4 linked regions of the Drosophila melanogaster genome follow. The protein of the gene in region 1 purifies or fractionates together with the protein of each later gene. This does not show direct contact. Each region holds a gene or a part of one and is shown on either strand. Other genes may lie near its edges.

The links.
Region 2: the proteins of rictor (region 1) and Sec63 purify together in Drosophila melanogaster (affinity purification with mass spectrometry, with the first as the bait; one large-scale study listed by BioGRID). This does not show direct contact.
Region 3: the proteins of rictor (region 1) and RpL18A purify together in Drosophila melanogaster (affinity purification with mass spectrometry, with the first as the bait; one large-scale study listed by BioGRID). This does not show direct contact.
Region 4: the proteins of rictor (region 1) and CG1703 purify together in Drosophila melanogaster (affinity purification with mass spectrometry, with the first as the bait; one large-scale study listed by BioGRID). This does not show direct contact.

Annotation. Positions count from the first base shown.
Region 1 is NC_004354.4:19,254,980-19,262,758, forward strand, and holds the start of rictor (rapamycin-insensitive companion of Tor), read right to left. Parts: upstream 6,262-7,779; 5' UTR 6,072-6,261; coding exon 6,008-6,071; intron 4,865-6,007; exon of another isoform or gene 4,766-4,864; coding exon of another isoform or gene 4,738-4,765; intron 4,668-4,737; coding exon 4,457-4,667; intron 4,394-4,456; coding exon 3,848-4,393; intron 3,388-3,847; coding exon 3,234-3,387; intron 3,176-3,233; coding exon 2,312-3,175; intron 2,245-2,311; coding exon 2,068-2,244; intron 2,005-2,067; coding exon 1,796-2,004; intron 1,628-1,795; coding exon 839-1,627; intron 737-838; coding exon 612-736; intron 543-611; coding exon 1-542. Other genes in the region: Vav guanine nucleotide exchange factor, read left to right, coding at 7,360-7,614.
Region 2 is NT_037436.4:7,357,080-7,366,350, reverse strand, and holds Sec63 (secretory 63), read right to left. Parts: upstream 5,791-9,271; 5' UTR 5,444-5,790; coding exon 5,320-5,443; intron 4,713-5,319; exon of another isoform or gene 4,608-4,712; coding exon 3,898-4,607; exon of another isoform or gene 3,830-3,897; coding exon 2,581-3,829; intron 2,499-2,580; coding exon 2,320-2,498; 3' UTR 1,985-2,319; downstream 1-1,984. Other genes in the region: Sh3beta, read left to right, coding at 141-189, 243-1,105; pst (pastrel), read left to right, coding at 6,327-6,430, 6,501-6,883, 6,962-7,500, 7,571-7,660, 7,736-7,905, 7,976-8,813.
Region 3 is NT_033778.4:17,545,906-17,549,438, forward strand, and holds RpL18A (ribosomal protein L18A), read right to left. Parts: upstream 1,558-3,533; 5' UTR 1,522-1,557; coding exon 1,504-1,521; intron 1,082-1,503; coding exon 566-1,081; 3' UTR 501-565; downstream 1-500. Other genes in the region: cyp33 (cyclophilin-33), read left to right, coding at 1-32, 89-261, 335-479; MESR4 (misexpression suppressor of ras 4), read left to right, coding at 3,182-3,533.
Region 4 is NC_004354.4:11,608,091-11,617,042, reverse strand, and holds CG1703 (uncharacterized protein), read right to left. Parts: upstream 5,117-8,952; 5' UTR 4,939-5,116; intron 4,868-4,938; 5' UTR 4,866-4,867; coding exon 3,779-4,865; intron 3,707-3,778; coding exon 2,088-3,706; 3' UTR 1,915-2,087; downstream 1-1,914. Other genes in the region: Met (Methoprene-tolerant), read right to left, coding at 1-175; RPA3 (replication protein A3), read left to right, coding at 1,289-1,525, 1,597-1,698; CG2247 (uncharacterized protein), read left to right, coding at 6,215-6,566, 6,630-6,841, 7,330-7,641, 7,736-8,340, 8,403-8,490, 8,544-8,809, 8,891-8,952.

The sequences.
Region 1 (7,779 bases):
GCCGGAAGTGTTTGAATCCGTGCACGAGTTGTAGCGTATTCGATGCTGATACGGCGTTGGGTAGAGAACAGCTCCCGACATCGTACCTACACCACTGCCCAACAAGCTGATCACATCCGTGGTCTTCGATTCGGAGAGCGAGCGTTGGTGCTTGCCCTGACGCAGATTGCTACCTTCTGGCAAAGTCTTTGATTTGGCAGCCACTCCAACCAACATTCTGGGGTGCACATCATCGGTCGTGGTGCGAACACTGTCCGTGGTCGTAATCGTTGCATTTGGATCCTGCACTATAGGATGCATACCGACGACTGTGCCGGCTACACCCCCACCACCACCACTCGCATCAGTCTGATCGGCGAGCATGTGCCAAAAGTCTGAGCCCGTTTCGTAGAATCTTTCTATATAGTCATCCATCATGGTCATATTGTCCGCCGGCACGTCCTCGTAGTAATGTCGCACCGGTGTGTACTGGCTGGACATCCAATCCTCCGGCTGATGCACGGGCCACATTGTGTTCTTGTCATGTCGCACGCTCAGCCAGTCTGCAAAACATGCATTTTTCAATTAGGACACAATCAGTTTTTCAAACACATTTGTGATGGGACACTTACTCAACTTAAAAAGGATATTGGCACCTGCCTGTGTGCCTGCGATAAGACCTAAGGCACTAAAACAGGTGGCCCTCACCGAATATACCTCGCATTTGGTCACCAGAACAATAAGCTTCTCGTATAGTCTACAAACAATAAATAACTTTGTAACATCTTGCATCTTTTGTGTATACTCTTTCAAATTCGTGGGACACGATTCGAAGTTATGTGATATGTATGTGACTTACCTGGCATTCAGTTCGACAAAGTATTCAATTCCATTGGAGTGGGTTGAGGCGTGGGCCAGTGCCCAAATGGCGGCCTTCAGTTCAAGGCACTCGGCATCGTCCGTGCATTTGGCGCGTCTGAGCAGTTCCAATAGCTGCGGCAGGTCTCCGTGCTTCCGCAGAGCTGTCATACCCTGGCCAGTCTGTGCCATTTGCCCGTACAGATGAGGTGCAACGTTTGGTGGTACAGTCTGTGGTCTCTGGTTGCAATTGCGACGCGAGTAGTAGCCATCCTCATTGCGGATGTGCAGCGTCAGGCTTGAGTGGGTGTCGGCTTCCACGAGGAGCACGTAGCGCTTGTTGTACCCATTCCGCCAGTAGCGGATCTCATCCTCGATTCGTGCCATCGTACTGTTCAGGCCGCGGGGCAGTGAATAATAGCGGGCCATCAGCAGCCGTCCTGCATCACCACGATGCGTTAGATTGGGCCACCGACTGACAATCTCCTCCAGGTAGTACTTGTCGTGGCAGGCCTCCTCCAGTACATCCATGGCTGCCAGCCCCACGCTACGGTCCGAATCCCGCGTCTGGTTGATAATCAATGGAATGCCCCATACCTCAAAGTGAGGCAGACGGGCACGCAGCAGCACTGCCATGAACTGGGTGGAGTACAGACGTCCGCGTGTCTTCGCCGACGTAAGCGCCTTTTCCAGCACCTGACGTGGTAGCTTCTCGTAGCTGTAGTTCAGGCCGGACACAATTAGCTTCACATAGCAGACGTGGTCCGTCACCCGCACCAAATTGATCAAGCTGAAATTAAGGAAATCTCGATTAGCGAAGGTCTTACTAGGTTTAGTTAATATTGAATGAGTTAACCCCTTCCGATTAGTCGATTCGTTTTGGTCTAACATCTTTAGATTCTTTAACCTAATTTGACAAGATTTAAGTCAAATTATGTACATATCACTCAGCACTCACTATTCAAATACGGTGGTATTTTTGAGTACTTCGATGCCTTTTACGGTTCGGCACATGCGTCCGATGTAGAGGAAATACTGCTGACACATCGTGTTATTCATATGCTGTGGACTAAATAGACAGTCGTGTGCACGATTCGATGTGGTGACGGCCGCCAGCTGTTGGCTGATGTCCGAAAAGTAGTCGGTTATAAAGCGCATACATTCAAGCTGCAAATTAACGAGTAACTTTAGGCTATTTTCACTAATTAGGCCATCATTAAGAGAATCTACCTCATTGCTGGACAGGAGGACGTCAATTAAATCCAATCCGGCACTGACATATGTAGGCAGCCTCTGTCCAGGCACCAAATCCTGGTGAGAGAACCGATTATTGCGCGGCTTGTAGAAGTCCACGAGTCGCTTCAGGAACTTTCCTTGGGTGTAGTCCAGTTTGCGGATTAAATTCGACTGCAAATGTTAAGATGAGAATCGTTTATAAACTGGAGATACCATAATATTTTCTGATTTAGTTTACCTTCAGTATGGTGGTAATAACATCCCAGTCCCAAAGATGCGCGTCCGCTTGGCTCAGCACACGGGAGTCTGTCAGCAGCCGATTGAAGGCTCGGAAGTTATCATATAAGGCTTGCGGAAGGAACTTACGCTTCAGTCGAAAACTGGACCTCGACGAGGTCGAAGCCTGTGAGTTGGACTCGTCGCTGGAGGAGACAGAATCCAGCCGAGAACGATCGAGGGTGCCGCGAAACTGAGTGACAGGCGGTACCGCAAATGCCGCCGCCTCCGCCGTTTCCTGCAACTGTAGCACAGGACCCGCTTGCTCCTGCACGTTGAGGTGCCGACGAAACAGTCGCGTCTGGATGAGAGCACCGCCCTGGATAATGCTGTCTAGGAATAAGCTGCGCGACGCCGGCCGCTGGCGCAGCAACTTCTGGTAGTTTTGCAGAGCGGCCACCGCTGCATTGGCCTGCTGGTTCCCCAATGTGGCATGACTCACCAGCGTGGGCAGTGCCGGACTCGTACAGCAAATATCCGGGGGCAGGTGGGTGTGCATTAGCTGCAGGATCTTGCCAATCAGCACCGTAGCCTGTACCGAGACGAACTGATCGCTGCTCACCACAACCTCGACGAGCGCATTGAGCAGTCCAGTCTCGAGGAAACAGTACAGCATCAGCGCCAGGTGCTGCTCTACTACGCTCGGTGCACGCGCCGCCAGCGTTGGCAAAATGGAGCGCCCTTCGGCGGACACGAAACCATTGCTCAGCAGCCACGTGTCCTGGAAGTCCGACGGATCCACAGCCTGCAACGCCACCGCATAGTCATCCGTCCAGGTTGGCTGCGGCAGCGTGAGCAGCTCGTACAGCAAATCCAATATTGCTTTCTGTTCAAATTGCATGTTCAGTAAGTTCAGATCGATACTAAGAGGGGAATGTACTCACTCTGACTTCGATCTGGTTCAAATACAGAGCGTCGACTATTGCTTTCAGGCCTGAGGGTTTGCTAGGATCACAGAATTCGAGGGTGCCCGTCCAGCTGCGCAGCACAGACAGCAGTGCCAGCCGACAGCTGGTGTAGCGAAGTTCGCGCGCATCCCTGAAAGATAGTTTTATTTATAAAAGAATGATGTAACTGATAGCGCTTATCTACAACTTGTAGTAGTACATCTTGTGAAAAAACTTCAGTAGATGTTTGTGGGATAGTCTTGTTCGATTTTCCAAAAGTGTTTCGCCCGATTTAACTACTCATTTAGAGCATGAAACGAGGTCAATGGCCGTGCTGCCTTTAGTTATCTATTTTAGAATTTCATGTTTGCATCCGCTGTTTGATAATCTCAAAAGACGGCGTGATGTTCATCGATTATTTGGTTACAATTCAACAGCAGATATAATTACTCTACATTAAATTACTTTCGGCGAATTAATGAGTGAAGTGGATCCGTCTTACATCTGGCTTGATAAACTGCTTTTTGTTTTGGGTAACCCATTTGTAGTATTCTGCAGCCAAGCTGCAGTATTCAAGGAGGGATTGGTGGGATCTTCACTAGGGCACTCACTTGTTCTTATCGACGATACTCTGCCGGTAGGTGAAATCGCAATAAGGAGCTGCCAGGCAGTCCAGCCGCACACCGCAGATGTTCCTCGTTTGCGGCCACTCGAGCAGGTACAGAAGCACGCCGCACAGGCTCTCAGCGATGCGGGGATTGTGGCACTCTAGCACATTGCGGGTTATGGAGGTGACGCCGCCGCAGACGATCAGCAGCGCCGGATTGAGCACAGCGAACTCTGCCAGGGTGGCCAGGCAGGCACGCAACAGATTGTCGTTCTCCTCGATGCCGCTATCCGCCAGCGAGACCAGGCAGCGCACCACCGCCGGACTGATGTCCTCCGGCGCGATGGCCAGCATCTTGCGGACCAGCTTCAGTGCCTGGACGCGCTCGTCGTCGTTCTTCAGCATTAGATCGATGGAGCGGCAGAGCAGGTGCTGCAGCTGCAGTGCATTGAACGTCTTGATGTCATTGGGCGTGCTAATGGCATACCGGATCGTTCGCAGTGCCGCCGCTCGCACTTGGGTGAAGGTGTGCACCAGTGAGGCACTAAGGCTGCAATTAAGGGCGATCAATTAGCCATGTTAAGAACAATGGTTTCCCCAACGGGCATCTTACCAGTAGAGCAGCTCCTCGGTGGTGAAGCGTATATTGCTGTGGTGGGAGCCCTTTCGGGCCCCCAAACAGAGCGAGGCCAGCGCGTTGAGCAGAAACAGGCGCTTCGTGTCCCGCGTCTCCTCCAAACAGAGCATCGAGTATATTTCGAATGCATTTTCGGCGGCCGATCGCTGTGGATCCAGGCGGTAGAAGTCCTCCGGATCCTGCGAAACTGTAATGGAGGAAAAGTTTCATTGCTTTTCTTATCAGATCCGTACACACTAATTACTAATTAAAACAACCTTTTATGAATGAATAATATGGCCACATCGATGTACTTGAATATTACATAAATATTATTTGCAAGTAATAGCTTTTTCGGATATGCACATGTTCAAATCATCATAGTACATGGGGTTTTTACGGTCAAGAGGAGGTGCACACATGCATGCACACAGCGACTTGCATTAGAAAGCCATCAAAGTGAAATTGATCGTGGATCGTGGAAAGCTAATCAGCTCAGCCGCTGCCTCTGTCTCTGCCGACGCTGACGCAGGCTGTGCACGTGAAATGACAACAACACAGCGTCATAACAGTTTCGTTGTTGTTGCAGTTGTCGTCGTTACAGCTAACTGTACTTGCATGATGGATTTGGTTGGAAAAGGGGGAGAGCGACAGAGAGAGAGAGAGAGAGAAAGGAGAGAGCATGACGAGCGAAGAAGAACGAAAGAGTGAAGGACACGATGAATGGAAGAAACCAAGCTGAGCATTTCGTATGTTATTGTTTTTGTAGTTCTAGTAGTGGCTGTTGTTATTGTTGTTGTTTCTGCTGTTGCTATCGCTGTTATTGTTATGGTCGATGTTTAGTGAATGTCTATGTTGTTGCTTGTGCTGCGTCATCGTTTTTGGGGGCTCTCTCTATGCTGTGGCGACCGTTCTATAAATAATCGGCCAACATGTAGTCGAAGAATTTGGTCAAATGGCAACAGCAACAACAACAAAAGTAACCAAAATAAAACCAAAAAATACATAAATAAAAATAAAAACTAAATAGAAAATAGAAACGAGAACAACAACAAATGTATAAATAACGGAGGAAACACTGAGGAGATCAGGAGAAATGTTGATCAGAATGCCATGCTGTCGATACATGCGTACATCACTGTTGCATCGCTGCTACATCGTTACCGTTATGGGCAATGCTGCCAGTGTGCTCATTCCCGCCCCCCTCAACAACATATTATTGTTGTTGCTAGTTGCCATCAATGTCAACAAAAAAAAGAACCCTTTGCTACCAATTATTGGCCAAGTCCAATAAACAGAAGGCTGCTGGAGGGGTAGGTGGGGTTGGGGATGAGGTCGGCTCAAGATCCACAACAACAACAACAACAACAACAGCTGCTGCTGTAATGCTTATGCCTCGCCGTAATGCAAAATAATGCAAACTGAATGGAATGGCGGGGGTCGGTGGGGCGAGCCATGTGAGACAAAACGTCGAACGGAGTGATTGCGCCATTATGCCGATGCCACCGTCGCCGTGTTTGATGTCAATTAGCACATTCGTTACATTACCTTTGATGCGTAATTGTAATTTGCTCCGCTTGCCAAAACGCCAACTGGAATGTTGGGAGGCCATCGCGTTGCTTCGCCTCTTTTTCGATTCGCCGATGGGGGCGTGGCGAGGCGGGTGCGGCGCCGTCGCCCGCTCGCCTATTAGCTGTATGTCGAACACACACCCACACACCACAACACACAGATCACACTTAAATATATTGCTTTTCAATTTCACTTGCTGCACAATTTACATTTTTTTTATTGCTCGCCGCTTTAAAGTGACCGTCGTCGGCGCAGGAGAAAAAACCAACTACGAAGCGCCACCGCGGGCACGAGAATTTGGAATATTTACGCGACTTTCAATGAAAAACATTTCATTTTACACTTACATCTTACATTTACATTTGACATACAATTTTGCTTGCTTACTTCCTCTGAAAGGCTAGTGTCTGTAATATAATGAATTTCTTGTGCACTAATTATAAAAATTGAACGGAAATATTCAAAATATTACCTGAGAAATTCGAGGACAGCTGAATTACCCCCAGATAGGAATTCTCCTTATCGTAGAACTATTTTATATGATTATAAATTACGAAATTAAAACAAATACTGTAAGGGAAAATTTACTTAATATTCTTCTGCAAGATTATTTGGTGACTTTTTTTTTGGAGTCAATATATGTCATGTGTATTTACTCTACTTACTAATTTACATCAACTTGTTATATTAAAGCATACCGAGGTGCACAATTAATTTTCGTCACAAAGTAACAATGCTATTAACATATCGTAAATACCACACATGCAGTTGGTATTTTCGAAGGAGCCGCAAGCGGTTACACGGCCGCCCAGACTGTTATCGAAGTCGAGTATGCTCTTCCTCTTCGATAAACGCAATATTTTGCAATAAAGTAAATTAGTTTTAAAACCACAGTGGCGAGCACTTTCTGAGCAACTCGGCAGCCGCAAGCACTGTTCGCGCGTATCCGGTGCACAGGGTGAGCCCTTCGCGAACGCGATACACCCCACTACGCTCGAATTGTCCCGAAATCGTTGTTTTTGTTGTGTGTGGTGTTGGCTAGTGTTGTGCTCTTCATTGCCTTCCGTTTTTGCTCTGTGTATCTGTGCTCGGGTTCACCAATCCAATCGCAACGGCCAACTGATGAGTCTCAATTGTGTCCATTAACGCGACGCGAGTAGCACCCACCCACCCTCCTCCTCCCCCCTCCAACACTTGCCAGTTGGGCCCGCGCCCCACTTCACACCATCACCGCCAACGCCAGCGCCCCACCCGCAACCCCTCCTCCAAATCCGAAACGAAAACCAAATCCCAATCCATATAGTAATACCCAACCCAACCACTGCGAGATGGCCAGCAGCAGTAGCAGCAACAGTTTTGGGGGCGTGGCCGGCGTGAACGGGGATCTGTGGCGCGAGTGCGTCGCCTGGCTGACCAGGTGCAAGGTCATTCCGCCCGACCACAAGGCCGCCCAGCCGGACGCCGAGATCCGCATCCTGGCGATGACGCTGCGCGACGGCGTGCTGCTCTGCAACCTGGTCATCCACCTGGACCCCAGCAGCTTGGATCCGCGCGAGTTCAATCGCAAGCCGCAAATGGCACAGGTGAGTGAAATGCGAGAAGCAAGTGACTTTGCTGGCAAATTGTGAATGGGTGGCACACTCTAAACCTTGTAAACAAGCAACACTGAGAGAAATAGGGGGAAGTATATCTGTAAAAATAATTTAAATCATTAAAACAAACATCACTTACAATTAGTGACAATAATT
Region 2 (9,271 bases), on another chromosome or scaffold:
AGTAGCCTAGCGATTGTCTGATCTTGTAAATACAACTTCCACTTTACCCCCCCCCCCCCCAAAAAAAAAAAAAAAACGAAAAACCACCAATCAACAACCCACAAAACATTCGCACCCCTAATCCCACCACCCACAAAAAGACTGAAACCGAAGAATCTGGGGACAAGAAAACGGAGGAGAAAACTACAGGTAAAGTAGGAAGATCGTCCCTAGACTCTAATCAAAATTTCTACCCCGTAAAGACGCTGAAGGTGAGACCCAAGAAAAGTCTGAGGAAGTGGATACCAAGGAAAAATCAGAGGTTGAGAGTACCAAAGATGATGAGGTTGGAAAATCCGAGGATGTTAAAGATGATGAGGATGAAAAATCCGAGATTGTAAAAGATGATAAGGAAAACTCCCAGGATGTTAAGGATGATAAAACTGAAAAATCCGAGGATGTTAAAGATAAATTAGAGGGAAGTGAGGAGACCGCAGAAACATCGGAGGATGCTGACACTACTGAGAAACCAGATGTTGAGGCCACCAATGATGATGGGGATACAAAATCGGAGAAAAACGAGACGCAAGAAAAGTCCGAGGAAGTTGATGCCGTTGAAGAATCAGAGGCCGAAAGCTCCAAGGAAAAAACGGAGGAAAATGACACCAAAGGCACCAAAGTCAATGAGAATGATAAAGACGAGGATGTTGAAGAAAAGACCGAGGAAAATGCAACAGAAGAGTCCGCGGACTCGGATAGTGCTACCAAATCAGAGGTTAAAAGTACCGAAGATGATGAGGTTGTAGAATCGGAGGATGTGAAAGATGAATTCGAAGAAAATGAGACCAACAAAAAGGTCGAGGAAGTTGGTAGTACTGAAATATCCGAGGTTGTAAGTACGGAAAACGAAAAATTTGAAGATATTAAAGAAAATCCTAATGAAAATGAGGCTCAAGAAAAGCCCGAAGAAGTTATGACTGCCGAAAGATCTGTAGAGGAAACCAAAGAGGAAGAACCAATCGACGAGGAAAAACCTGCAGAAACGAAGACAGAAGACACGCCCGAAAATGAAGAAAGCAAACCGGATGGCGAGAATTCCTCTTCCGAAGAAAGCGAAGAAGAGTAAAAGAAAATCGATTGAACGACAACAAAAAACGCACTGACATCCGCATCACAAACACCAATGCACAAAACGCACACATACACACACACGCACATAAAAAAACGCACATTTAGCCAAATAATACCAAAAATGTTTTGTAAATAGAAACAAGAACCCACTAATAACGAGTCTGGTGACGGGTAATGAACCCTAGTTTAGGCCTTTATGTGACTTATTTACAATTTTTACTCCTTTCCCAAAACAAACAACAAAAAACTCGCTGCTGTCTACAACAACAATGAAAGAAGTTACCAGCGACCACAACAACAACAGCAGCATCAGCTAAGAAGACTTCAGATTCCCAATCGGATCTCTTATTGGACAGCGAGCGGGCAGCGGCTGCGCAGTAGGCGTCGACGTCAGCGCAGACAGAGGCAGCGCCAACTTTGATTTAAATTATTTTTATGATTTCCACAAACTATTCGGGCTTGTTGCAATTCTCACTTGTTTTTGCTGATTTATTATTTTATGTGTCGATACTCTAACAATGATACAACCGTTTTTTATTTATTACAAAATTAATTTACTTTTGCGCTAAAATATATTCAAATTCTAAAAGCTGTAAGCAATTAGTTTATCCAAAGGCTTAGCAAAAATGTAATAAAAAAAAAAACTTAAAAATTGCTAAGGTTTAGGCGTGGTCAATAACTTGAATGGTTTAAATTAAAGTAATTGTGATGCTATTTATTTAATTGAATAAAATGTTAATCTAGAAATTCAGCAAATTGTGCAGTAAATTTATGTTAATTCAGCATTAAAGTGAGCGAAAGTAGCAACAAGCCCGTGGGTTTTTCTTTCTCAGTTTATAACACAACAAAAGAGTAGTAATATCAATAGACTTTTGTATTTACGTGTCTCACTTTTAGTTCTTGTATCCAAATAATTAAATATACAGTACATTATAATTATGTTTAGTACAGTACACGGTAAAATGAAGTTATAGTTATTTACGCACTAGTTCGGGGTCTTTTCCATTACAAAACTAGTAAAAATGCGAAGGAAGGGTTCGCATTGGTGTGCCTCCGCCACGCGCCACGCGAAACTCATTTACTAAAAGGAAAACAAAGAGGCTTCTCTTCCGTCCCAGTGAATTAGAGAGGAGGTTGAGGTTGATTGGGGTTCAGGACGTCTATCCATCCGTCCGTCCGTCCGTCGCACTGTCCATGTAGACAGTGGATTTATTCGCCGTCCTCCTCATCGGACGTATCTGTTGTATAGTCGCTCAGGTTCTCCTGCTGATCGGTGTGCTCCGGTTCCGATTCGCTCAGATCCCACTGAGGATGATCCGTCGGTGGTGCGGGAGCCTTCTGTACATCCAACTTCAGCTCCTGCTGCTGATCCATACCCAAATACGAGTCTGAAACAGAGGAAACATTGTGTGAGAATCCCCCCTTCGAATGCCAATGTACTATGCAATCCAAACTCTTTTAGAAACTCACCCGATCTCAGGCAAACGGTGAACGTGTAGACGCCCGGCCAGCGCGGCGCGGTAAACTTCAGCTGGATCTCCTCCTTCTCGACCAGATTGGTCACATGATAGGGCGCTGTGAGCAGGGTGCGCGACTTGCGATCGCATATGTAGGTCCACCAGTACTCCTGCTTCTCCTCGGGGAAGTAGGGGCAGTGGACGGTGTGCGACAGCCGAGACTTGCCCTCGAGACGCTCCCTCTTGTTAAGCTTAGCTTGCAGTCGCTCCCACTCCTCGTCATCGTCGTCGTCCAGCGAGGAGTTGTTCTTGCCCTTCTCCTCATCCTCGCTGCCACTGCCGGCAGCCGATTCCACATCGCTGCCATCCGCATTTCCAGCCTCCGATTCGGCATCGGAGTTACCCGCCGCCGCTTGATCCTCGGATGCCGTGATCGTAGCTGTTGTCGCAGCCTTGGCCGGCACCTTCTTCTGGTTCTTTTGGTTCTGGGCTGGTTTCTTACCACCCTTTCCCTTGCCACCCTTACGTGGCTTGGCCCAGGCAGAAGCCTTCTTGACCGGCGCAGCGGCAGCAGCCTCATCCTCATCACCGGCAGCCTCCTCATTGGTCTCATCCTTGATGCCCTGCTTCTCAGGCGCCTTTGTGTCACCGAATAGCGTCTTCATGTCCTTGCGCTCCAGCGTAACCGTGACCGTAACTATGGCCCCGGCGGTCACCACATTGGTGTTCTCATCGTCGATAACCTCGCAGCGAATGGAGAAGTCAATCAGCGGCATCTTGCCCAGCACTTTCATCGTGTTCTCGTACTCAAAGTCAGATAGGTTCTTCAGAAGCTGACGGCTCTCCTCCGGCTTGAGCTGGGCGAATTGCTGCAGGTTCTTGACGTGCCTCTTCTTGTTCATAAAGTACAGATGGTCCTCGGTGAGATGGGGCAGCTGCAGCAGTGGCGATTTGAACTCCCACAGGCCTTGGATAATCATCGGCGACATTTTCATGCAGTTCTCAATCGTTTCGATGCTGGGCAGGCGGGGCACACGTCGGGCATAGGCCATCATGACCAGCTGGTGAACGCAGGAGACCATTTCTTGCACCAAATACGGGCACTTCTTCACCACAAACTGGCGATCGCGCTCCAGAGTTTCCGGATTGAGGGGCATGCGACTGAGATGGGCATGCAGGATGGCGCGAGCCTTGATGGAGTACATGCGGCACAGCGGATGCTCCTTGCACTTCTCATTCAGATTGGGCAGCTGTCTAATCAGCTGTATTCGAAAAGGAAGTGTTATTAGTGAGCGAACAACGAATGGAAATTCCAATAAAATGCACTCACCGCCGGCACCTCGTCATTGTCCGACTGCCGCTCCTGGACCTGCGAGTTGTGTCGCTTGTCAAACTCCAAACTGGCTGCCAGAACCATAAGTGCCCGCTTGAGCAGCATGTGCGGTGTCTTGTGGATGAAGTAAAAGTACATCTGAGTGGTATCGAGCAGCACTTTGTCGCCACTGAAGCGGATGGAGCGGTACCACCAAACACCCACTGCCGAGGGCATGGCCACCATGAAGACCAGGCCGTACAGACCCAAAACCCAAACGCTATTCTCCTTCTCCACAATCCACGAGGGCAGGGCGATGCCAAAGGACATGGCACCCGGTCCATCCGGATTACCATACTTCTCGTAGTTCTCCTTTGCCACATCGTCGGTCAGCGCCTGGTACGCTTTGCTCAGCATCATGAAGGACTTCTCGTCACCCGTCTCCTTGTCGGGATGGAGCACCTTGGACAGCCGGTAGTAGGCCTTCTTGATCTCGGCCTGCGACGACGTCGGCGGCACATTCAGGATCTCGAAGGGATCGAAGCTGGCCATCTCGTAGTCGAACTGCGAGACGCGGTACGTGAGGAAGAGCAGTAGGGCCCACCCCAGCACTATGGTCAGCTTGATGGTCCATGACGTGAGAGCTCTGTACGGCTCGGCATTGGCCAAGATGGTCTTCTTTTTCTGGCAGTCGGCGCACTGACATTCCTCTTTAAGTTTGCTGTTATCTGCAAGTATGTGTACGAAAATTGGGTCAGTACGGGGATTATATAGGCTATTTTAAAATATTTGAAATTTATCATTTTCACTTAAGATGGCTAATAAAATGATTTAAAAAAAAAACGATCTTTACAGGTACCTGCTAACCTGATTACGATTAAAATTAGTTGAGGTCTGTCTACGCATATTGCATTTTTTTTTTTACCGGGAATGCCAGCGCTACAGAAATGAAAATCTCGCGAGAGGAAAATCGTGAGAGAGCAGCCGATTGGTCAGTGAGCGTGTGTGCAAAGTGCACAAGCACAGCATGATCGCGATAAGTCAAAGGTAACTTGCTCATAATCACTCCTCCTCCACCGATCACGATGATAGGTAAGTTATCACGATATTAGCGACGCATGGACGCTTGTGGAGCGTTGAGTGCGCTGTCCCAATTGGAAAACGAAGAGAGCTCGACTTGCGGTAATCGCAGCGCAGCTTTCACCCATACGAAGACGATGAGCTGACGTTGTTAGAATAACTTATTGGAACGTGTCCATTTAGTTTGTTGGTGGCGGCGGGAGGGTTAGAGCAGGAGAGCGTGGTAATCACATGTATGTCTATGCCTTCGCCTTACTGGCACTCACTTACACACATACACACGCGCACAGCTGCAGGTGGAAAATTAAAAAACAAGAGCGGAGAGAGTGCGATTTAAATCGGCTGGCAAGCGGCACTTACCTTGTTTCTTTTTACGTGGCCAATAGTAAATGGTGGTCGGTATCAATATTAGCGCCAAGAACGATAACACAAAGTAGTAGAACGTTCCGCCGCTCTCATCATACTGAAACTTTTGACCCGCCATCTCCGACAGCGACTATATGTATTTTGTATTTTGTCTGGCACTGCCTTTTGGCTCCGTTCCGTTCCGTTCCTTTCTCTGCCGCCGCTTTCCCCTGCACTTTTCCTCCGGCAGATCCAGCTGATGTTGCTGTCGCGTTGGAGTTATCGCTACAATCGCTGCGCCCCGTGGATTCTCGATCGACACGCGGCGATCTGCGAGATTCGAATGGGGCAGGAGCTGGTGTTGTTGCTGCTGCTGCTGCAAGATATCGCGAGATTGGCACGCCGCGAACTTAAAAAACTCTGTATTTACACCGACGCATGAGACTGACACGTAGGGTTGTTTGGCTCGTGCTGGAACCGATAGGCGTAGCTGGAGCGGAGCCGGTTCGATTGCACGGCTATCGATAGGCGGGAGGCAGCATTCATAGTTTAGGGTTGCCAAAGCTGGCAGTACTAAGTTTAGAATCTGATTTTTTAGGTCACCAAGTACTAAAAATGTTTGCAAGCAAAACTTTTGTCAGCAAGTTTTCAATGTAAATGTATATTTTTAAATGGATTTGCCTATATATATATATATATATATTTTTTTTTTTTATAATATAATATGTGCTCGCTAGAAATACAAAGCAAATATCTGATTAGCATGAGCTCATCGTCTCGTTACATTTTGGGTTTAGCACGCTAGCAGCTTTTTAAATTTTGCTCACCAAAGAAGGTGACGGTGGAATACGGGGTATTCATATAAAGGTATGATCCCTAGAGAGCTTTTCTGCCGTCTTGCCTTTTCGGTATTTCGAGTACGATCGTTCAATTAGTGTGCGCCTTAACTTAAAAGCTGGTGATTCCGTGGCACAACTCCATTAGCAGCACAACTGTGGCAACGGAAAGGTGACAACTTAGGGATGGCGAATAGATTAGGAAACCATGAAGTTACCCGCACCGCACGTGAAGTGCAGCAAAACTTTGCCGAGTCGCTCGGCTACGCGGAAGAGATAATCTGGGATCTGTAAGTACTGCTACTGCGCATTAGAATTTTGAATTCAAAGTATTTGGGGTAATGACGTAACCCCTTACAGGTTGTCCCATGAACAACATGACGTGCTAAGGGGCAAACTCTGTCAATTGATTCGTGATTCTCCGGAACCGAAAACTGCAACGGAAACTGAAAAAGACAGAAAAATCCGGCTGAAGGTCAACGCAGATAATGAGCGCGCCCGTCAGATCATTTTCGATTCCGTTTGGCAGCAACGTGAGTTGGACTTACAGATTGTATATAGTATAGTACATTTTTTCGCTGCCTTAACTGCGTACAATTGTTTTCCAGGAAAGTATACCAACCGTCAATCGCTGACGGCGATCATTTACGTAATGGTGGTAACTGACGAAACGGACGTCAATCGCGCCGAGGACGCCAGAGTCTTCAGCGTGCACCCAGTCTTTCGGGCCCGTCGATGCGTCGGTGAGTCATCCTTTGCATACGTATGCAATTTACAATATATTTCCTATCTATCTATCAATGGATCCATTTAATACTCAGTTGGCAGTAGTGGCACCAGCAGCGTCAGCTCGAATTGCTGCAATCTGTTTATCGACGAGCTTGGTCGGGTCTACCAAAACTGGGAGATGTATGTGACCACCAACGAGTTGCCTGCCGGAGTGATGGTGGCCCCAGAGAAGGGTATTTACCGCTTGGTCAGGGATCAAGTACGTCTGGATAAGTACACAACGCCGGCGGGCACGACCAACAGGAAGGTGCTGGGCTACCTGGATACTGGGTCGGCAGTCGGAGGATTTTTTGCTGCCTGTGTGCCCATTGCTGCCCTGCTAACGCTGCCCGTATCCGCTCCGCTGATGGGCGCAGCGGGAGTAGTAGGTTTGGCCAGTGCTGGATACGCCGCATCGCGGTCTGGCAGCAAGCTATTCGATCGCAGCCAACATGAGCAGTCTATCAATGTGACGGACCGCGAAGCGCGTGGTCACTGGTTGGGCGTGGCTGGTGGCACTGTGGGATTGGCAGCGGCTGGGGCCACCACAGTCTTGACAACGGCCACAAATGCTGGACGCGAGGTGGGAGCGGTGAGTCCTTAAACCCCCCCCCCCACGCAATCAACAATGGAATAAAAATGTTAAATATGTACTCACATAGATCACCCAACTGACTGTGAATAGCATGAACATATCCTCGATTGTGGTATCGGGCACTGGAGTTGCCAATGGTGTGCTGGATCTGATATTGGCAAGTCTCGAAACTTAGACTGTGATTAGATTAGGCTAGATAGATTAAACTTATGAAATTTATGATCTTCCACAGAAAGCAAAAGACGGTGACGAAATAGTTGCGATGGATGTTTTGCAATTGTCCGCTTCGTTGGTGCTGCTCACGCACAGCGTCTACAACTTTAAATTGGCTTCGACCATAATTAATGAGACAAGCAATGCTAATATTGCCGACTATCGTAAAAACCTTTCTAATAGGCAGCGGTAAAAAACGTTCAATGAGATACATTCTGTCGTAAACAAGAGTTTCTACTTGTATTTTTTTTACCATCAGGCGAACCTTTGACAAGGCTGCCAAGGAGACCGTTCGGATGCAAGGCAACACTCGCGGCAAACTGGACATTATACGCAACGTAAACGAAATTTCGCCACAAGAGTTTAATGATCTTTTTAAGATCAACAAAAACTTGAATCAGGAGGGCGTGCGATACTCATTCGCACCCGATGGCAAAGGATTTTTACTAAATGGCGATGTGCAGACGACGGGTGCGGAATTGCGAGCTAGTGTACAACATAACCAAGGAGGGAATGTCCTAGGCAAAGTTAGTCAGCCCATTCCCGGTAGCCATGCGGGTTCTGGTCGCCTTCAACTGGGCGGCGTTAATCAGGTTTCCCGTCTAATCGGACCGCTGCCCACATCCCATCCTCGACAGGAACCCAGTACCTATGCCGCCGGCGTGTTCGCCTTGGAGCTAAGCTCTGTGTTGGTGGGCGGTGTTGTTTTCGTACTGGAGAAATACGGAAAAATCATATTTGAGCACGTGATCAATGCTGAAAGTTTTGAGAGCCTAATCAACATCATGGCCAATAAGCTTGATCCAAAAGTCTTTGACCATATAATGCTATTGACCAGAGCCTTCATGGACACCATGCTGGAAGACCTCACCTCGGTGCTAAAGTTCTTTATATCAACGGAATCCGTTCTTTACCGCATTTTGTTGTACATTTTACGGAACTTCGAGGACGTGCAACTTTCGGTTATTGCGGATCACACTTGTGAGATCGTAGAAGCCGTAAGGGTGTACTTCATGTCCCTGAATCCAAATGCGTTCCCGGGTCTCCTTCAGAAGTGTCCGAAATGTATCGGCCACTTCAGCGTTTGTCCCTTGTAAGTGTTTAACGAAATGGTTCGTTTAACATTAGAATTCAAGGGCCATCAGCATGTCATAATTGATGCCCAATTGTTTAACCACAAAGAAACGTTAGCTAGTTCCGCAAATAATCAATGGGATAACTTACTTAATATGAGCACAAATTGACAAAGATGAAATTGTTTTAGCATTTAAATAAAGATTTTATTAACCCTGTTGAAATAATTGTAATAAAAGGAGAATTTTGAACCGGAATGGTTCTGATTTCCGGTTTTCGAACACAGAATATGTGAATCATTCATTGTGTAAAGGGGATTTTTTTTAATCTTTAAGAGTAATTCCTAAATTTACAATCTGATGTCATCTATACTATGGTATAATAGCAACAGCCATACCACCAAATCATTGAATGCCTTAGAATATAAGTCATAAATTCAAGTATCCCATAAGAACAACCCCAATTCTGGTGACAATAACAA
Region 3 (3,533 bases), on another chromosome or scaffold:
GCTGCTCCTTCCACCGCGTGATACCCGAGTTTGTAAGATAATAATTTGGCATAGTTTTCTTCATTTATGCATTCTTTCCATTCAAAAGATGTGTCAAGGAGGCGACTTCACCAACAACAATGGCACCGGCGGCAAGTCCATCTATGGCAAAAAGTTCAACGATGAGAACTTCAATCTGAAACACAACAGTTTTGGAACTCTTTCAATGGCCAACTCGGGCGCCAACACAAATGGCTCGCAGTTTTTTATATGTACCACAAAGTAAGCTGGTTTTACAATAAATAATTTAACTGAAATATTTCCTTCTACTAATTACATTTCTTTTGTTCTACAGAACAGATTGGCTGGACAACAAGCACGTCGTTTTTGGCCATGTCATCAGTGGCGCCGAGGTGGTGCGCAAGATGGAACGTTGTGGCTCCAAGTCGGGCACTCCCAGCCAAAAGATTGTCATATACTCCTGTGGAGAACTCAAATAAAGAAGCTTTCACAACTAGTGTACTCTTCAACGTTCTCATTTATTGAAAAAATCCACTAAGTCATAGGTATAGGATGCAGGAGAATCCTACTGGAAGTAGGTCCTGGGCTTCCTGAACGAGAACAGTTTCCTGTTGCCCTTGTGGTGGACACGCTGGACCAGAGGGAACTTGATCTTTGAATCGTGGAACTGCTTCACGTGCACGCGGCGGGTCTTGGCGGCAGGGATCGAGTCCACCTTAATGATCTGGATGGAGTGGGCACGGGCACGGTGGCGGGCTCCCATGTCGCGGTAGCACTGAGTGACGGCACCGCCGACAGTCAGGTCACGGTACTCGCGGTACATGTTGTGGGTGCCCGAGCGGGAATCGTAACGCAGCCAGATGCCGAAGTTCTTGATCTTCACGGGCGACGTCTCGTACACCTGCTTGATGGACACGATCTCGCCGGTGGTCTTCTTGAACTTCTTCAGTTGGCGCAGGAAGTACCAGAAGCGGGATTTGGCCACGATGTTGTCGGGGGCAAAGATGCGCATCTTGTAGAGGGGAGTCTGGGGCTCCTTCTCGCTGGGCAGCTTGCGGCCCACGACCTCGTACTCCTTCAACTGCAAATGGGATTTGGATTAGTTTAAATGGTCTACATAAAACAATTGTAAACAAATGCGAACAGTCGCAGGCAAACAAACACACGCATGGCTGTTGGTTTTTGAAGGTTATGTTTTCGGCGGCACAAAGCAGTTGTATTTCTATTATATTGAATATGTTTGAATAGTTAGTTATAAATTCGTACTGAATAATAGTTTCTCACAATTATGTAAATTACTTTTGTGAGTTAGATAGGATCACATTTTTAAGAAAAGTGGCTCGGCAAACATTGTCCACGACAATGTCGTTTTTTACACAGAAATTACGGAGTTTTAAAAAATCCAACGATTACGCCAAATAGGCTATGTTTTTGCTTATCTGTTGCACGCATTTTAAACTAAAATAATGATTGTATAAATCATTTATTTTGGCAAATACTAACCAATCCCTTGGCTCTCATGTTGGACGTTCACGCGAAAAGGAAACGGAAAGAGCTTGTCAAATCGGTATGACACTGAACCTCGATTCAGGGATGGAAAAAACTATCGATAGCTAACTACGAATATTAGTTATGATTGATCCACTGTGATACTGGACGTGCTATAATGGTTCGTTTAAAATTAAGATAATTACTCAAGATAATATTTTTAAATAGCCCGTGTAAATAAGATTTTAACAATAATTGCTGGTACTGGCCAAGTATCGATATGCTTACATTGAACCGCAAGGGAAAAGCACAGCGATGCCTGTCACACGGTTGCATTTTTGGCAGTCACACCAACACGCTGCGCCAGCTATCGAACTATCGTCCATCACTAGCTTCTGCGCGTGTTTCAATGGCATGGCTGTAAAAAAGGCGAAAAATATTGCTAAAAACTTGTTTTTCACGCTTTATTCGAGCTCTCTCCGCAGCCAAATTGTGAAATATCCAATCCCCATACGCTACCCAATGTGCAGCTACTAAAATACGGTGAAAAAGAGCGCGAACAAATCGAGCAGAACGTAAAATGCAAAGCGTGGACGGCGACGTTCAAAAAGAAGAACATTTTTTACCCCGCACAAGAGACGCGCAAAAAGGCAAAAAAGCAATTCGACAATATCATTGTGCTTCTGGTCGAAACTAAGCCCAACGGCAATTGGGTGCACTTGTGAAATCTGTTTGCATTACGTATGCGAGTCCTGCGAGTTTATAAACAATTGAAACCAGGCGTTAATTGTATAAGTTCGCCGTGGGGTGGGGGCGCCCCGCTCTCCTTCCGAGCCGTCTCGGCTCGTCCAATCCAATCCGCTGGGCAAATTCTCTCGGTTTCGGTCTCTTTTTGGTTCAGTTGTGCAGCGAACTTCCGTGAAATCGGTTGTTGTTTTGGCTACGTTCTCTCCTTGCTGTTTGCGCGCGTAAAATTCATCGCTCTTTCTCTCCCTCTCTTGCCTTCCCACTCTCTCTCCCTCTGCCGCCTACAAATTGTGGGAAAATTCTACCTAAGCAGGGTACAGCAACAAGAACAACAACAGCAATAATACGCTGAGCAGAACCGACAAAACAACAGCAACGCATAGGAGGAGAGCAGGTAAATAAACGTGCATAATTGCTGTACATTTTGATTGTAGTGTCCATTCCAAGAATATTTCAAGTAAATTCGTTTATTTTTAGCAGTAAGTGGCTCTCACGTTGCCATTTTGTTAACATTTATTTTGGTATTTTCAATTATTTTGACTTTTCGTTTGCACCAGGGCTGCAAGATCAACCAATGACCGGCGATTTTTGTGCAATACAAATGTTTATGCCGTTAATATTCTGAAAAATTTATCGTGTATACCCCCGCATAAACATTTAGCCTTTGCTGTCATTCTAATTTTTTTTTATCGAAATACCAAACCCAATATCTCGTAATAATAAATTCGTTTCATTTCGCTTTCAGCTGCGTAAAGAACAACGAAAAGCATACAAGAAAAATAGCGAGAACCGGAACGGATTCAACGCCAACGGCATGCAAAGGTAATGAATATAACAATTTTTGTCTAAAGTGCGTTTAATTAATAGCGCTCTGATTATTTGTTTTTCTCCTCTTTTCTTAAATGTTATTATTGTTTTTTGCTGACAGCGTGTGATTGCAGATAATATGATGGAAGCATTGGATCAGCAACAAGCCAAGCTAACGTCTAACCGAGATGATGGAGAAGCGGGAAGAGGATCGGAAACGGGATCGGAAGAGGGCACCGGGGCAGGTGCAGCTGCTGGCGAAGAAGACGACATCGAAGAACTTCATTATGTGCTGGACCAGGCGAAGGAGGAAAACGAGAGCCACCAACATGGACAGAACAACAACGCTAAGGGAAATGAAGATGGGAAGCCGAAAAAGAACGATGACGTGATAGATGTAACCATGGCAAATGGCCAGGGTTTCAAAGACACACCTGAAGAAGAGACGACCGGAACGGAAGAGACAGCCGAAACGGAGGAGACAGCCGAAA
Region 4 (8,952 bases), 7.6 Mb from region 1:
GCTCCTGGATGCTGGCATTAAGCTTATCCCGTCGCTGTTTTTCGGCAAGGTTACGGGCCTCCCGTCCATTCGCTGGATCTGAGGAGCTCCCACTTCCCGATCCCGATCCCGATCCCGATCCTGTCGAGCCAGCGGATCCTGTGGAGCCCGTGTTGCCCGTCTCTGGTGCTGCCATTTTGGACTTTTTGGGCGTTTTCTGGAGTTACTGCCTCCTTGTTTTCCACTTGTAATCCTCGATTTATGGATTTTCCCCTTTAATTGGCGCCTTGCGGTAAATGAAAATCGTCACTCTCCATAACAGGGTGTACGCTCCGCACTTCTAGAATTGTTATTATGGAAATTTTTCGGCTAAAATATATTTTTTATTACTTTTGCAGCTTTTAGTTTCTTATTTTTGGCTGTTGTCTTGTTTTTTTTGCTGCTTTTAAAGTTTTCAAGGTCTCGCTTATGCTGTGCTGTTGTTTTTGTTTTTGCTCGCCTCCCCTCTCTCGCTCACTCTCCTTCGCTCACTGACACACACACACACACGTCACTCTCACGCAACGTACATATGTTTTCTCTTTTCGCTTTCGTACTTTTCCACTTGCTTTTAGTCTTATTATTACTATTATTTGCTTCCCTATTTATTTATGCGTTTCGCCTTGTAGTTTTTTATTTTTCGTTTTTTTTTTACGTTTTGATTGCGTTGCGAATCTGAATCTCCTGCTTATTGTTGTTGCTGTTGCTGGTGGCGTTGTTGTTGTTGCGATTTAATGCCCGCAATAAGGAAATTCGGAGGGCGGCGGTCGTTTTAACAACGCACTTGCTGCTTGCACTTATTTTTGTTTATACTAAGTGATTAATTGTTTATTTGTAACATTTATTTTATAACAATAAACATTGGCCAGTCTAAAAACTATCGATACATCGATGTAACTGGTTGTCGTACTAAAATTCGCACGTTCACACCGGACAAAATATCAGAAAGATTCGAACATCTTGTTCGCTGTCGATAACATTGTTGTAATACATGTAATCTATCAGGTCTTTTTATAATTCTATTATAAATTATTTTTATTAATTCTTATTATAATACATAAGTCCACAGTAATAATGTAATAACTTTTGATGTTACAATAAATCCATAAATATTTTTGCTACAAAATTCGAATAATTTCGATAGCAGACGTCATGCAATTTTATTATCGATTAGCACGCTCGATAACTATTGGCGCTCTTTCTTGTTTACGGCATTTCATTTTCTGCTGAAATTGGCTGTTTTTTGAACGTTATTAACTGAGGAGTTATTATGGATGCCTTTGATCCACGCTCGATTATCAACGGCGGCATGCTGAAGCAGTTTTCCGGCCAAACCGTGAGCATAATGGTTCGCGTGGAGAGCGTCGCGGGATCCACTTTGCTGGCCAGTTCCACAGACAACCACAAGCTAAAGATCAATCTGCCGGGTGAGCTGGGCGCCGCCGAAGGGGCCTGGGTCGAGGTCATTGGAGTGCCCCATGGTGCGGACACCCTCAGGGCCAAGGAGGTGGGTGCACTCAATCCATGGAGTCATTTATTTCAATGATCCCAAACCATTTGCCCACTATTCATTTGCAGGTCATCGAGTTTGGCGGCGAGAACATCGACTTCGATAAGGATGGCTATAATGGATTGAGCCACCTGATTAACAATGTCAAGGCCTTCTATCGCAGCGGCTAGGATGTCCACAATTATATCTAAGAATTAATATTATGTACTCTAATGTTATTTTTTCCATTTTTTTGGAGAACACTCAGAGCTGGCATTAACTTTAAATATAAATCATCTATCTACATATATTACGAGTACAATTTACGGGTGTTTTAACCAGTTCCACGTATATTCTACAACAAATACTTAATACCCACAATTTAATAACATAAACAACACATTCTTAAACGCTCTTGTGTAATAACATTTACTTCCACAATTTGTTATTGTATATATGTTGGTATAAAAAGACTAACTAGCAGATAATCAATTCAACAGTTGAACAATTAACATAGGGCGAGCCAGCTGACGAGTGATGACCAGTTGCATGGACTCCAAGTCCGTATGCAACTTGAGGGTTATTGCAGCACAGCCGCATTGGCCACCACGCTAGGATTGTTGACCACCTCGCCGAGCGAATCGAGAACCTCCTTTCTGTAGTCATCGAACTCTCCAACAATCTCGTTGATCGTCTGATCCTCAATTACGTAGAGAGTGCAACCTGTTTCACGGATCAAACGCTCGTCGTGGGAGACGATGATCACGCCACCCTCGTACTCGTTGATTGCCTCCGCCAAGGCGTCGATACTCTCGATGTCCAGATTGTTCGTAGGCTCATCGAGAATTAGTACATCCGGCGCACTCAAGCATAGCTCAGCGAGGGCCACACGGGCTTTCTGACCACCGGACAGATCCTTCATCTTGATGGTGTGTGCATGACTGACCAAACCAAAGGAACCCAATGCCTTACGCGCCTTTTCGTGGGGCAGATTGAACAGACGCTGCAGGTACTCTGCAGCCGATTCCTCTGCCGTGAGATGTTCACCTGAGTGCTGATCGAAGCGGCCCACATGAAGTCGGTGATTCTTGCGCTGCTCACCCTCCTGCGGTTCCAATTCACCGAGCAGCAGCTTGAGGAAGGTTGATTTGCCCACACCATTGGGTCCCACGATGGCCACTCGACTAGTTAGATCAATGCCAAAGTCAACCTTGATGAACAGCGGTTTCTGGCTCGGAAAGGCGAAGGTGACATTGTGGACACCCAGAATGGGTGGCTGGAGCTGCGATGGCTCCGGGAAGCGGAACTTGACAATATATTCCTTGGGCCTGGCCAACAGCTCCTGAGGTCCCTCATCCTCGTCCTGTTTCTGCTGCTTAGACTTGTTCTTCTCCTGCTTGCGTGTGAGCGATTCCTTCTGCTTCTTTTCCGCTGCCTTCTTCGACTGACCGTGGGCCTTCAGCTCGCGCAGGCGCTTCTCCTGCTTCTCGTACTCCTTGATCATCTCGCGGCGTTTCTGCACATACATCTTCTTGAACATGGAATAGTTGCCCTTGTAGTATTGCAGTTTCTTTTGATCCAAATGTATGATCTCGTTGCAGACGTTGTCCAAGAAACTCTGGTCGTGGGACACGATCAACAGGGTCTTCTTCCAGCCCTGCAGATAGTTGTCCAGCCAAATGACAGCATTAAGATCCAAATGATTGGTCGGTTCGTCGAGCATAAGCAACGTGGGCTCCAGATAGAGAGCTCTTGCTAGGGACACTCTCATGCGCCAGCCTCCGGAGAATTTGTTCGTCGGCCTGTCCTGCATCTCTTTGCTGAAACCCAAACCGGCAAGGATTCTTCGTGCCCTGGCTTCCGCCGAGTAGGCTCCAATGGCTTTCAGTTCCGCGAAGGTATCGTTTAGCTCCTCCTGCACCGTCAAATCGCCAGCGACAAACTGTTTCTCCAGTTCATCGGCCTTCTTTAGCATCTCTGTGCGACGCACATCAGCTTCCAAGATTGTATTGATGGCCGTTTTATCGGTAGCTACGACTTCCTGTTCGCAAAGCAGCACATCGATATTGGGCGGTATGGCAAAGGCACGGGTGGCAATATGCCGGAGCAGGGTGGTCTTGCCGTGCCCGTTGGGACCCACCAAACCATAACGGCGTCCATGTGCAATCAATAGGTTGGCGTTCACAAATAGATCGTTACCTGAAAAAAAAAAAAATGTTTGGATTTAAAATTGATAATGCACAACGAAAAGTTATAGCAATGATGACTCACCCTTGGCTGAGATGGTGAAATTCTCGATCTTGATATCCACGGCTTGCTCCAGAGCCGCCTTTTGACCAGCGCTCTTCTGCACCTGCGACATGGTGAAATTGTTGTCCAAGTCCGAGTGACCGGCACCACCCTTCTTTGTCATCAGCTCCATTTGGCGTTCGTACTCCTGCTGCTTCTTTTGCTTCTTTTTCTCCTTGTGAGTGAGTTTCTTCTCCTTGGCTTCCTTGCTCTCCTCGAACTTGGAATCTACCTCAGCATCGGCTTCCTCGTCGGGTTGGGGTTCAGACTCGGGTTCGGGCTCGGCCTTGGGTACCGGCTCAGGTGTCTTTTCCTTGAGACTTACTGCCGCCACTTTTTCGCTAAGGACTTGCTCCACTTTCTGCTCCTCCACTTCCTTTTCGGGCTGCTTCTGCTGTTCCTTTTTTGACTCCTTGGCCGCCTTGTTGGACAGCTGTTCCTTCTCCTCCTCTTCGCTGTCATTTGGCAGATCATCGGCAACCTCATCCTCCTCATCATCGCTCATGGCGAACATGTTCTTTTGCTGAGCCTGCTGCTTCTTCTTGGACTTCTTGGAGGCTGGCTTGACAGCAACCACTTCCACCTCATCCTCCTCATTGTCCAGGTCGTCCAAGTCCAGCTCCGGTTTATCTTCGTCCGAGAAATCGTCGTTCTTCTTCTTGTTCTTCTTGTTCTTTTTGCTGGGCTGTGGCTTTTTAGCAGCTGGCTTGGATGCCAGAGGCGCCTCGTCGTCATCTTCATCGTCCAAGTCGTTGGCAGGCAAACTCTTCTCTGGCTTCTCATCCTCGTCGCTCCAGTCATTATTCCTCTTGCCCTTTTTACCCTTCTTGGCCTGCTTTTTGCCGGCAGTCTGCTGTTTGCTCTGATTCGATGAGGCTATGCTCTCCAGATCCTCGTTGTCCCGATTCCTGGTCGTGACATCCTCGTCGCTGGAGTCGCCGCCGCCACCTCCTCGCTTTCCCTTCTTACCACCCTTCTTGCTTGTCGGTGGCTTCTTCTCCTGCACTTTCTCCAGCTGCTCCTCGTCGTCATCAAAGCGCTCCTTCTTCTTACCCTTGGCCTTGGACATGTCTGTGAACACATAGGGATAAAGAGATGCTATTGTATGGCCTATAGTACTTGCATTTAGCGCTTGGACTCACTTGATTTGATCACAGATTACAACAGCCGCCCTCGGATTTCACGTGCAGAGCTGGCAATATGTAGGTGTATATATGTAGGTGTGTAATGTCGCTATATACATATGTACAACCAGTTGTGTCGCCAGGGATGATTGCACGCGATATTTTGTTGTTGGACTATCGATGACAGCACATGGAACGAAACTGTGCGATGGAAAACCCGTTAGGTGTCTCCAAAAATGGCAATTTCGATAAACGTGTCTTTTAGTATTTAAGTGTTGAGATAAATATAAATATATATATAAATATATGTTAAGACATTCGTTTGAATAAAATCTGTGATCTCAGTGAATGTATATGCCGGTAAGTTTTAAAACATATCATATGCTAAAATTTGGTATTTACATGTGTTAGAAAATCCTACAACTCATTCGATAGTATTGAATAATCGTTGTCGAGATTTTCCATCTAACCGAATAATTGTGTGAGTGGAAGTCGACAAGTTAAGTACGCTTGTAGGTTCGTTTTATATTTCCGAAAGAAGTTGTCGTGTTCAGTGTCTTTTCAAGTGAACTTTTTATTTCTTTTACAAAGGTAAGCTCAAAAATTAAAACAAAATTGTTGAGTTCTACATGATTTTGACACGGTTAGCTGAACAATCCGGTGCAGATTTAATAAGCGTCGCATCCACACACACACTTACTTGCAACGCAAGTTCGCGATACGCCGAAGAAGCGGCAAAGCATAGGCTGAAAACACAGTAACAAAGCGAAACGGTCCGAAAGAGTGATAGTAAATTTAACTTAAACGAGAAAAACTGTGTACTTTGTGCCGGCGAAAGTGCAAGAACCCGCTATTCAGTTTTTTCGTATGTGTGCGTCAGGTTTCCTCTCGATCAACAATTGTGGCGATCAAAGCAGAAACGTAAAGAAAACAAACCGCGAAGCCGCGCAACCCTGACACTCGCATAAATTTACATGTGTGTGTGTGTGTGTGTGAGTTGTGTGCAGATTAACCGGCAGAATTCGTTTATTGTAAAGTATTGTATTAAAAAGGGCTAACTCTGATTAGAATTTACATCGCATACTTTTTAAATTAAATGACTTGACAATAAAACGTCGGTTGTGGAAAAAGTGACAACCCAGGTCTTCAGGGTCAATATTTTTGACAGACGAAATTCCATTGAATTGTTTGCCTATCGGTTCCATAAGTGATCACTATTAATGTTTTATGAGAACATATACAACATATATCTAGAAACTTAGCTTATTTTTTTGCACATCGATTCCAGAGCGACATGGATGTGCCCGATGACAATTTTGGGCCGTCAAAGCCGTGTGACAAGCAGCCCTTAGCTGGCAACTCTAGCAGCGCTACCAATTCATCGTCGCATACCGGTGGTAACGGTAACGTTGATTCCGCATTCGAATCATCTACAGCTGCAGGACCTAGTTCCGGCGCCAATCAAAGTAGCACAGGCGGTGCTATAGATGAACAAGGTTCCATTGGTGAACAGAGTGCCGGCGTGGGACAAAACATTATTGAGGGCGACTTGCTGGTGTTAAATGCCAATTCCACAAACGTGGATCTTTCGACTCACCGGGATGGCTCTAGCTTTAAAGACTCGAACACTGAGCAGGGAAAAAAAAGTAAGCATAAATAAATAACCAGCATCTGTAGCATAATAACACATCTCATCTAAACCCACTTAGGTACTATGATTAAGACTTCAAAGACATTAAATGACAAGAGTCAATTTGAACGCCGCAGACGCCGTGGCCGTCAACGTGAACGTCATCGTGAGCCCAGCACGCATCGTGACGATCTTGAACCGTGCGATTTAGGTCTAATGGGATGGACTGGAGAATTCCCAAAGCTAACACCCATATCCAACATCGAAAGCAACTCGGATAAAGAACCGCTGGTGAGTAGAGGGGATGGCGATGCTGTCCAGGACACGAGCTGGCCTGCTGCTGTCTGTTCAAGCTTATAGAACATACCTCTGTATACTCATGTTCAATCCACAAATGGGCTAATTTGAATATCCCTTTCGGTCGGTATTTATTCACAAATACACATAATTAATCAATATAATTTGAGTATAAGTTTATTTTAAAACTTATACTCAAATTACTTTTACCTGTAAAGTAAACTTATGTAAACATAAAAATATTGTAAATAATCTTGGGACGGAAATTTGCATAAATCGAAAGAACTTAAGGTTATTAGATCCCCATAAACTGTTTTTTGACTATTTTTCCAATCAAACTTGGTAACTGGTATACAGAGGTCTATGTTGTGCGGACATCGTTTTGTTTGTTCTATATTATTGTATTTCTCAACACGAAATCGTATCTGTGCTTATCTCAAATCTCAACCAAACAATACACAACATGCACACTACGGCAATAGTCGACGGCCAAGCCAGGTGTACTGCCATGGAGTGGCCTAAAGGTTTTTCCGAGAGTGGAACCACAAGAGGAGACAGCGGCAGGTACAACAAAGCCGGCTCATATCACTAATAAGTCTGAGGAGCAGCAGCAGCAGCCGTCTCTAACAACGCCGATAATGACGTCGCCACTCGACGCCTCCCAGGGGGAATTGGATGCAGCCATTAAAAGCCCTTTGAACGCAAAAAAAAGTCCAAATGCAACTGGTATTGCAACAACATCCAAGTCCAGTACAACACCAACCAACATGCAACCATCAGACTTATACAACCAGGTGGAGACCCTTAAAAAATCTTATGCTAAGAGTCGGAAATTTCACAGATTTACTAACCATTGATCTTCTCTCCCTCTTGTATCTTCCCCCATAGGTTGAAGATAAAAAAGAGGATACCACCAAGAAGCAGGCGGAAGCTGATCATACCTTGCACAAATCACTTAAGGACGCTCGCATCGTAAAACGTTCTATGTCCACCCATTCGCCTCCGGAGCATTCGCGTCGTTCAGTGCGCTTCAGTAGCCATACGCCTCTGACCGATGAGACGAACATAATGAAAGAAACATCCACCGAAACCTCTTTGAAAGTTATTTTCGAACGCCTAAAGCAAACTGGCGTAGAGCGAGATCTCTTTATACCCAGCTCCGAAAATCCCAGGCCTCGCAGCAATGGTAGCCCGGTCCCAAAGGTGGCGGAGATGGAACATGTGGCGGTTGTGAAGTGCAAAACGGTGGCGAAGCAAGGGGCGGTGGTGAAAGGCAAGGCTGGGTTGGCCAACCCGTCCAACGTAATGCCCCAGACGCCTGCCTTAACGGTCACTGGAAAGCGAGTGTCGAAGCCCAAGGTGCCCAAAGGGGCAAGTCCACCGAGTGAGGGCTGGACCTCGACCAGGGCGGTTAAGGGGAATTCTCGGGCAGACTACACCAACAGCAGCTCGTGCGGTTCACCGATTGGTAATACCAACATTCGCAGGCGCAGGTAGATATATTGTATATATATACACATATCAATCTCTATATACTCGGTATTTTCATGTCCAGAGCTCACGCAAAGGCAGCCCCTGATAAGTCAAAGCCTTGTGTGCGCTGCGCGGCTTCTGTTCATCCGTCTGGACCTAAGTTGTGCAAGGTAATTTACGAAATGCTATTGGAGATTCACTGGCTTATAATATCCTCTTTCAGAAGTGTATCTATGAGAAGGGATATGCCAATAAGAAATGGATGAAAAAGACTGGAGGAAATGAGGATCATTATGATGATGACGATGACAGTGACTTCAGCATGATAGAAGTCACTTTGGAAAATGAAATATCCGTTCAACAGGCGGAGAAAAAGCAGTTAGAAAACGTGAATAAGCAGACCGTTATAAAGGAACAAGAGGTTGTTGTAATTGGAGGGCGCAAGGCTATAGCCATCATAGCCGATCCGATTGGTTGCAATCTGAAAGTGTGAGTCGGTTTAGTTCCAAGACCAACGCAAAAAACCTACGAAACGCACAGTTATTTATATGTTTTTCCTCAACTTATCAGGATTCCAAACCGGCAGAATTTGGCTGGCCTTAAAAAGATCTCAAAGGACAAATGTAGCTCCA